2 linked regions of the Tribolium castaneum genome follow. The protein of the gene in region 2 purifies or fractionates together with the protein of the main gene of each other region. This does not show direct contact. Links are inferred from orthologs where the notes say so. Each region holds a gene or a part of one and is shown on either strand. Other genes may lie near its edges.

The links. Proteins that work in one complex are often made in the same cells at the same time.
Region 1: the proteins of Klc (region 2) and Aplip1 purify together in Drosophila melanogaster (affinity purification with western blotting, with the first as the bait; 3 studies listed by BioGRID). This does not show direct contact. The link is inferred for Tribolium castaneum from reciprocal best matches to the Drosophila melanogaster genes Klc and Aplip1.

What each region holds. Positions count from the first base shown.
Region 1 is NC_087394.1:6,458,721-6,463,171, reverse strand, and holds the start of Aplip1 (JNK-interacting protein 1), read right to left. Parts: upstream 2,954-4,451; 5' UTR 2,894-2,953; coding exon 2,811-2,893; intron 2,705-2,810; coding exon 2,499-2,704; intron 1-2,498. UniProt on the Drosophila melanogaster protein: The JNK-interacting protein (JIP) group of scaffold proteins selectively mediates JNK signaling by aggregating specific components of the MAPK cascade to form a functional JNK signaling module.
Region 2 is NC_087402.1:3,659,829-3,664,472, forward strand, and holds the start of Klc (kinesin light chain), read left to right. Parts: upstream 1-1,835; 5' UTR 1,836-1,861; coding exon of another isoform or gene 1,862-1,878; intron 1,879-2,296; 5' UTR 2,297-2,369; coding exon 2,370-2,398; intron 2,399-2,559; coding exon 2,560-2,776; intron 2,777-4,420; coding exon 4,421-4,644. UniProt on the Drosophila melanogaster protein: Kinesin is a microtubule-associated force-producing protein that may play a role in organelle transport. The light chain may function in coupling of cargo to the heavy chain or in the modulation of its ATPase activity.

The DNA of each region.
Region 1 (4,451 bases), on a different chromosome or scaffold from region 2:
AGTAAACTCTTTATTCAAAAAAATCTTATGTTTTAACAAAATGAAACTACAACATTAACATTTATAGGACACTATACGAGTAGACACTCTGTGAAGAACAACTGTTTTAGTTCAGCTTAAACTTATTGTATTTAGCAGTGCTGTAATCGGACGTCACAGGTATAAACAACCAGTTACATGTGGAAAAAAAACATAAATATTTGTATTAGTGTAATTTCTTGTCGACTTGTTTTACAAGTGGTTTGTCATGAAGTCGTCTCAGGCAATAAGATGAGAATTATTTTAACAAACTTTATACGTTCTACTTGTTGCTTAAAAAATATGTATAAAGAATTAAACTCTTTGTAATAAAAAAAAAATTGAGTTATTTTACCTATGTCCAAATGTATTTATAGCCTCGATAATACGAACAGATGCAGTAGCCCTGGACTTTTAGTGTTTACACTTTTGAGATTGTACTGTAGTTTAAAATTTTAAAGTTATCATTTTTTACAAACTAGTGTGCAAAAAAATACGTTATGGACGTCCGTAAAGCCTAGTGATTTTCAAATAAGTTATACTGTATTACGGACTTTAGCTATTTGTTGTAATAAAAAAATTTATTGTCTTCGACATATTTCATGATAAAAACTCCAGATTTTTGTGAGAAAATTAAGTAAGAAATTGAACAATTTTAGAATAAAACAATATTGCTGTAGCTTCAACATCAATTTGATAATAACCAAAAATTTTGAGTGGTTTTAAGTATTTATTTTGAAATTTAGAATATAAAACTATTAATTTCTTTTATTATTGAAGTTTAAAAAAAAAGTGACAAAGCTACTTAGTTGCTAGAGGACACTAGCTGAGCAAAATCTTTTGCAGCGAAGCATTTAAATATTAGATGTCGCTCATAGGTAAGTTTTTAATTTCTTGCTAAAAAACGTACCCAAAAAATCAAAATTTTTTCTAAACTATATCTACAGATACATTTTCTTTTATTTATTAGAGGTTGCTGATAAACTGAAACTCATTAATTTATACTGGAAAACTCAAAAAATTATTTTTTCAAAACTCCAACAAGTTAAAGTTTCTGGAATTCTTAGAAATGCATATAATATTATTTGGAACGATAAAGTTTTTTATTTTCAGAAAATTTTTATAAACTAAGGAACTTATTTATCCTCGAAAACAAAAAAGAAATTTTTTCAAACTCAATCTAAGAGTGTTTTATGAACTTTCCAATTTCTTATGAAAGTCGAAGTACTAATGTTAGTATGACTATTAAATTAAATATAGAACAAATCTATTTTTTCTGATGAATTTATTTAGAAACAAAAATGACAATTTTAAAATTAGCCTTTATTTTAGAAAAATTTGAATCTTGATTCTATTTTTTCTAAAATCTTATTAAGTAATATAATAACAAAAGAGAAGATGAAGGAATTTGATCTTACTAATAAGGGTACAAAAACATTTCAATGTATTTTGACAAAAAATACATAATAAATAAAGCTTATTGCAAATTAGTTTTCTTTCAAATTAAAGTTTTTATTCTTTTTCTACTTTTTGTCAATTCATTTACCAAATCTTTCTATTATAGACTTTTCAAAAAAAACTCATGGTTTATAATTTTTCTCCTGCAAATGAAGTGGTCATTTCATCATCGGTCAGTAGTTTGAATTTTAGCTTTATTAGCTAAAGTCGGCACTTATTAATATTTTTGAAGAAAAAGTTTATAAAGTTTTCAAATCCTCTTAGATCTACCGAAAAAAATAACCACTTATTGTGCCCTATTATAAATTTATTAGAAATATTAATTGAAAGCTTCTGAAAAGCAAGCCTAACTTTCTTAATTTTTTCACTGTAATCTATTTTTTAAACAAACGTACGGTAAAAATGTATTAGATTTTTTGGCTGTATCAACTACGATTTGAATATTAACATGAAACCTAATTGCAGATTTTGTCCGAGAAAATGTGTTGAGACAGTTCGTGTACAGTCCTAATTAAACCAAAAACTTTTGATAAGTCTTTCAGTAAAGTCAATTTATGAATGTAAACTTAAAGTCTATTCATTAAATTTCCAGCTATTCTTGTTCTAGACAATCATAAAGTTTGATACAGCAGTTGAAACATTGATATTGATATTGATTTGCCTTCTGCTTTGAGTAAAGTAATTCATTATTTTGTACAAGAGCTTGCAAAGTACCTACCAGTGAAAATTAATTTCTTTTACAAGTCAATGGAGTGGGTAGAATATCAAATTAATTTCTGTGTATTTTTTTTTGGTTTTTGTAAAAAAGATTAGAACTTATTATCAGAGTTAACTCTTAACTGAACTAATTTTATTAACAAGTGCACCTTAAAAAAACATTTTGAATATTTTTGTTTTATTTTATTCAACCTGACCTTTCCCACAAATGATTTTCATAATCAAGTTAAAAGCAAGTCAGACTAACAAAAATTGTGTTTTTTGCAAATACCGGAATCGAAAGTGTGATGTGAATTCCCACTTACGTTTCTTATTTTTCGGGATTTCGGGCAGTTTTCTCCTCCTGCGTTCTCCCGTCCAGGGAGGAATGGGAGTACTCCTCGAAGGTTCTTTCTTTTCGCTTGTGGAGGAGCCCGAGAGTCTGCTCTCCTCCACAATATCACAGTCTGTTTCGGGGTCGCTCTTGGAAGACGTGGGCGATTCTTCATCCACGACAACATCATGAACTAAGCTTTAAAAACGTTACGTGAAATCAATACTCGAGAGTTGGTCGAGAAAGCGGAGGTGTCTTTCATTGACGATTTATATTTTGGCAAAGGGTTGGCGATTGTACTTACGAATAAAATGGTGCTGAATTTTTGGTGTGCGATGTTAGTTTTTCAAAGCTGTGTCTAAATTCTTCAAACTCACTATCAGCCATGTTTATTTTCAACCCCGCTCTAGTATTGATTGGGGTGATAAAGCGATTCTGCGCTAGGAGCCTGTTGCTTGTCCTGCCTTGCGTATCTTTGCTTTGAGGAAAGCCGCTTGTCTTTGTGATAATTTACTTAGCCGTTAAATCATCGCAGATTTCGTGAATGATGCAGTCTTATTAGATTACAAGGACAACTTCAGCTGGATGGAGGATCATTTAGATGTATTGTACGCGCACGAGGACTTCAATTAATGAAGCTTATCTCTAGAGGATTTCATTATTCTTAGGAAGCAGCCAAGTTATTCCCATCTCCAGATTTTACAATCGTTGATAATTATTTGTACATCTGTTTAGAACAGTGCAATAAATTTTAATAATTAAAATATACAGTGAAGATTTTATTTTGCTGAACACTGACGTTTCTGTGGAACTCTTTACAATGCATTTTGACAACATATAATAATACAATTAATAGTGTTATGTGTTGAGTTCGAATTTTTTAGTACAAAATGACGGAAAACAAGGCTAAAATAACCTTAAAAGTTAAGCAAAATATGCATAAAAAATACACAAAAACTGAAAATGTGTCTAAAATTATAATCAAAACTTTTTTCAAGAAAACTTCAGCTCCAAACAATACATATTTAACAAAAACAAACTTTCATAAAAAAACTGCGCCTATTACAATAATCATAGGGGTGGTAAAATATAAATCTACGAGAAGCCTCAGTTCAACAAATGTTATTAAAAAATAAATATAAAATAAAAAATATTTTGCACGTGAATATTATTTTCCAAAAATATTCGTTATCTAATTTTACTATTAAAAATTTACAAAAAATGTGGAAAAGAACCAATTAGTCGTTCTTTGCCTATAGCCAATTTCTACAACGTTATTAATCTATCAATGAAGTGAAATAATATATTTTTTTTAATTCTTTAAAAAAATGTTAATTTAAACAAACTTTGTGTACTTAAAGAAAAAATAGAAATAGCTAAAATAAAAAAAATAATAGTGTTAATTTGTAAAAAATCGAGATTGAGTTTAATCTAAAGAAATGTCTCACTTCGAATCAGTAGATAAACAGGCAAATAACTCTTAATTAGTTTAAATTCAGTACTTAGTTATGTTCTAATTAATTTGATGTTTCAAAAGATAAACATCATATTTCCTAGAGAAAGGTTTCCAGTGTGGTAAATTTTTCTAGTTGTTGGTCTTATAGAAAGTATATAGTTAATTTACTTGACAAAAGACAAGCTAATAATAAGTTACAAATTGATTTCAAATAAATTTAAGCTTTTTGGAAAACTGGAAATAATCCTCCACGCACTTTTAGCAGGAAACAACATTTATGCATTTATGCATATTTTTTTTCAGTTAAGAACTTGTTCTTCAACAACTTTGTAGTAATTAATAACGAAAGCAGAAAAAGTCTGAGAAAAAAAAAGTATGAACTGCTATTTTTTATTTAGAATTAAAATAAAATTCATCTTCCTGAAAAAAACTATGCAAGGTTTTGAGAGACAACCTACATATTTATTTTCATTAATTTTCCAGTAAAAA
Region 2 (4,644 bases):
GGCTTGAATTTTTGTACCTAATTTCGTGCGCAACTTAATCGTTTTATGCAAATGTTGTTATCTAACCGGCGTTAGCGTGCTTTCGAGTGAATAAAACGGCACAAATTGTGTAATAAAACTCACATTATGGGGCAGAGCGGCAGCGAACCCGTCAGCAAATTCATGAATTTTTTTCTAAATGACACTGGGTCACTTTAAAAACAGTTAACAAGGAAATAAATCGAGAGACGTGGTGACGTCACGCGCCGGCGCATCCCTATCCCGGAGCCCCGGCTCCGGAAAGGCCCCCATCTTACCTTTAACGCAAAATTCGCATCGAATCTGCCTGTTTTCCGGTTACCATATGGTCTGTTTGTAATCACAACTTGCGGTAATAAACTGGTTGCGTGACCATTGAAAATGCGACAAAACCGTCCGTTTCGTGATAATTAAGTACCATAATAGGTCGGTGGTACATCGAGACGATGAAAAATTTCGAACGGAACTACATTTGACGAAAATTTTTTGACATGTGCCAGACCATCATTGCCTACTTAACTTACGGGTCTCACCATCGTGGAAAGGCGACAGCATGGGCATGGGGGAGGCCGTTTGCCCCTCGGTCGTGGCTTGGAGAGCAGTTATGTTGAGGTTTTTCAGGGCGCGCACCGAGACTGAGGCCACGTAAGCGTCGCGGCGCGAATCGATGTCGTCGAACCGGCGCAATGCCACGGCCATATCGATCACCACAATGCGACACGATTATTTTTATAGCGCACGCCACTGCTCGCCCGGAAAATTACAAACCCCGCAAACACGCCTCCACTGGTTTATTTGAACAGACCGCGCAGTCACGTGACACCAGCGCTGCCTTCGTACAAAAAAAAATAAAAAGCGTGCTCGATTGTTTATGGAAATTGGATGTTACGTCATGCTTTTACTGCAAAAATCGAACTGATAACGCTATCACCTACCTTTGTGGCTTACTAAAGTCATATAAAATGGTAGCGCCCTTCTGGACGATGACTCCCACAGAAGCAAAAACTAAAGAAAAAGGTCCGTTCAAGGGTCGATCAAGGAAAGTGTCCGGCTGGAGTTTGCTGCAAAAACACCGAGTTTGATTTATTTTTAGGCAGAAAAAATAAGCAAAAAGTATGCATGTAACGTGATCTCACCTTTTATTTGTAGCACCTTCCACGGACCATCTATGACCGAATTAACGCTCAAACAATTAGACGACACGTCAGACAAAGTACTAAACTAATTAAAATGCCAGTTTGAAGGCACAATTGGGGGAAAAACCAACAACACAGCTAAATTGCTGCTACTTTACTGAATCGCCATATGCAGATAGTCGCCTGACTTTTCGACGAACTCACAGGTGCGCACCCGCAACCGGACAAAACTTAAATCCCTAAATTGACACGAAAAAATCGGCTAAAACGGGCTTTGCCCTCTAAATTTGTCCACAGTCGTTTCGGCAAAGTGTTTAATTAATTACTGGGGTGTGTTTTGCAAGCCAGAACCCTGATTTGTGTTACTTTAACCCGGCTTAGTGGCACCCGGTAGGTGGCGCCCCTGATTTGGCAATCATCTGTCACTCTTCTAACACTGAGAGAAAAAGGAATGAGAAGAGAGTTATCAAAAGCGCAGCCATTAATGTCAGAAGAAAGTGATTGCAGTGTCAAAAATAGCCCAATTTGAGTGTTTTAACGCTTGGCTGCCAAATAAAGGTGAGTAAGCGTCCCCCCGATCGTTTGGGGGCACAGTTCAAGTGTCGGTGTCCTTCCTTCCGTTGGTCAATTTTTGTGATTTATTTATGTCGCAGGTTACGCTATGGTCTACTGATTGCCATAGCAGGTGAGCAGTGCATTCCCGTGGCATGGATGATAGCAACACGTAAGTATTTTTCAATCGTCACGCTTGGCAAAGTAACGAGGAAGCGCCCCTGTAAAAATCGGGCGTGAGTCACGGCTCGGAGTGTACGCCCCCGCCGTCACACGTGTATTGGTTTCCGATCGAAAGGGGTGCAAATTTCTGATGGGGTTCGTCGGGCTATGGGGCGCAGGCGCGGCGTCGCGACGCAGTACGTTTGATGCACCGACGTCAGTTTTCGCGTTTTTACCGAAAGTGGCACACCCTTTTTCGAGCTATGGGGTGGAAAGGGAAGGCGGCGTGATGTTCTAGGGGGCCTTATTATTGATTGCGGGGGTGATCGTTGACCAAAAATATATTTTTGCATTGTCTCATATTCCGTCTTGTGATAACGCCTTGCACTTTTACAATAATCAAAAATATAAATAAGGTTTTTGTATAGACGCTCAATTTAAACGATCGTGAGGTGATGAACGAGGTGCTCATTGGAATTAAGAGGACGCATTCGAAAAAACATGTCTAAAACGATCAACGCGTATAGGATGTAAGTTGGTTTTGTTTTCAGTTCAAGCTTTTGTGTTCTTGTGGCGGTCTTGCTTGCCTTTCGTTTGTGCTACTTGAAATCCGGCGTTTTTTCTACAAATTTCTAACCTAATTGTGGCATAATTCCGCCGCCACTTCCTTGAAGTTGTCGTTTATTTCCAGTAAGAAAATTGAAAGTTTGGGAAAAATGACGGCGATGTCGCAGGAAGAGATCGTCTCAGCTGTGCGAACGGTGGCTCAGGGGTTGGAGGCGCTCCGCTCAGAGCACGCCGGCATCCTCCATGGCCTCCACGAAGCCCCCGATCCGGTGGCCAATGAACGCGCCGGTCTGGTGCAACAAAGTGCAGAAATGATCGAATTGGGACTGGGAGAAGCGCAAGTATGTTCTATTTTTCTTTCTAATCAGATAAAATCGTCGGTGTGTGAGAGACGAAAGGGGCACCCGATTGCATCGATCGGGGAGCACCGATGACTCATACTAAGGCGAGTGGGGAGGGAAGGAAAAGGAAGGAGAGTGTCGAAGCCAATTGATGACTTTCTAAAATTGGATTTAATTTATTTTGTCGCGGTTCTATTATTTTCGACGGGATTTCAGATGCCAATCGATTATAATTGGAGGATTAAGATAAGAGATTGGGTTGTAATAAACCATGAAATGATTGTTTGTTTGTTTTGAATGAGAGATAAAAAAGAAATGGCGGCCTAATTCCGGGTTTAATTTGTTTTATTTGAAAAAAAAAATAAATAAATAATTAAAAATTGTGAAAGTCGTACTTGGATTACGAGTTGTAGAAACTAACAATTATTTAACTGTAACAAACCATGCAATTTAAAAGTTAAATGGTAAATTTGACCTAGAACTTGAAGTTTTCTTCTATAATTACAGATAAAAATACCTGATTAAAACTGAAAAAAATCTTCTTATAAGTCAGTTTATACCGGTCTTGAGTAAATTACATATGATATTATTTCACAACCTACCCAAAAATTATATTGTCATTAGATTGTGTACCCACGATTTTAATTAAAAAATTTAAAAAATAATTATTGAGACCAAAGTACAATATTCAGTTTTATTGTTGATTGTTCATAAAAATCTCATTTGCTTGTAATAACGTCATCACTGTCATTACATGCATAAGAATAATAAGTTTGGTGATGAGTTTATTCATGAATTTGCTTCAATAATATTCACAATACTTCCAAGTGTCTTAAATATCTTTTGAATGATACTTTTGAAGGTGACGAAACAACAATTATTATTGTTAAATCATTATACTTTTACCATATTTCTTAACAAAAATTGGGTGTTTACAAATTAAAATCTGTATCAATTAGACTTTCTTTCTGCTCATCGAGCTTTAAATCTCGTGGGATGATTATTGATGATGTTTATTGCGGTTTTTATGTCCTCACCCTATCCTTTTGTTTTTCTATTTCCACGTTTTTTATTCAAACGTTGTTTTTCGTTCTTGGTTTCCAGGAAAAACAAGTTTTTATGGCTTTGGTTATAGGGCTGTAAAAAACTTGGTGCCTCAAGTATGTTCGATATTTTTTGTATAACATGATGGCCTGTTTCGGTAAATAATTGTTAAATTAACACTAAAAAGTTCTTCGTTTGGCAGCCTGTAATCAAATTAATTTAAGCCGATCGTAAAATTGAGATAATTTCATCGTCTTATTGTAGCAAGTGTCATAAAAATAATTCGCTTTTGTTTGTTAATTTACTTATTAAACTGAATTTTTTCTTTCTGACATAATTAACTCCTGCTGATGCCTGATTTTAAAAATGAAACCACTGACCACAAAAATACAATAATTATAGTCTCTTGTAACGAAAAAAAGTCGCGTGTTCGAACTGTCCTTGGACAAGTCTCCTCACTGATTTTTTAAATTGTTACTCAAAATCAATGAAAGTAATTAAATTTGTGAATTTAAACACCGTGAAAGGGATTTTGCTTCCAGGGAAACGCATTAATTGGTAGAAATGTCGCATTTTAAGGCAAGTAAATTTCTCCTTCAGGTGATAATGGCCTTGGCCAACCACCTCCAATTAATCGAGGCCGAAAAACAAAAACTGCGAACTCAAGTGCGTCGCTTATGCCAAGAAAACGCATGGTTAAGAGACGAATTGGCCTCCACCCAACAAAGACTCCAAGCAAGCGAACAGACCGTGGCCCAATTAGAAGAAGAAAAACGTCATTTGGAATTTATGAGCTCCGTTAGTAAATACGATCAGGACGTCAA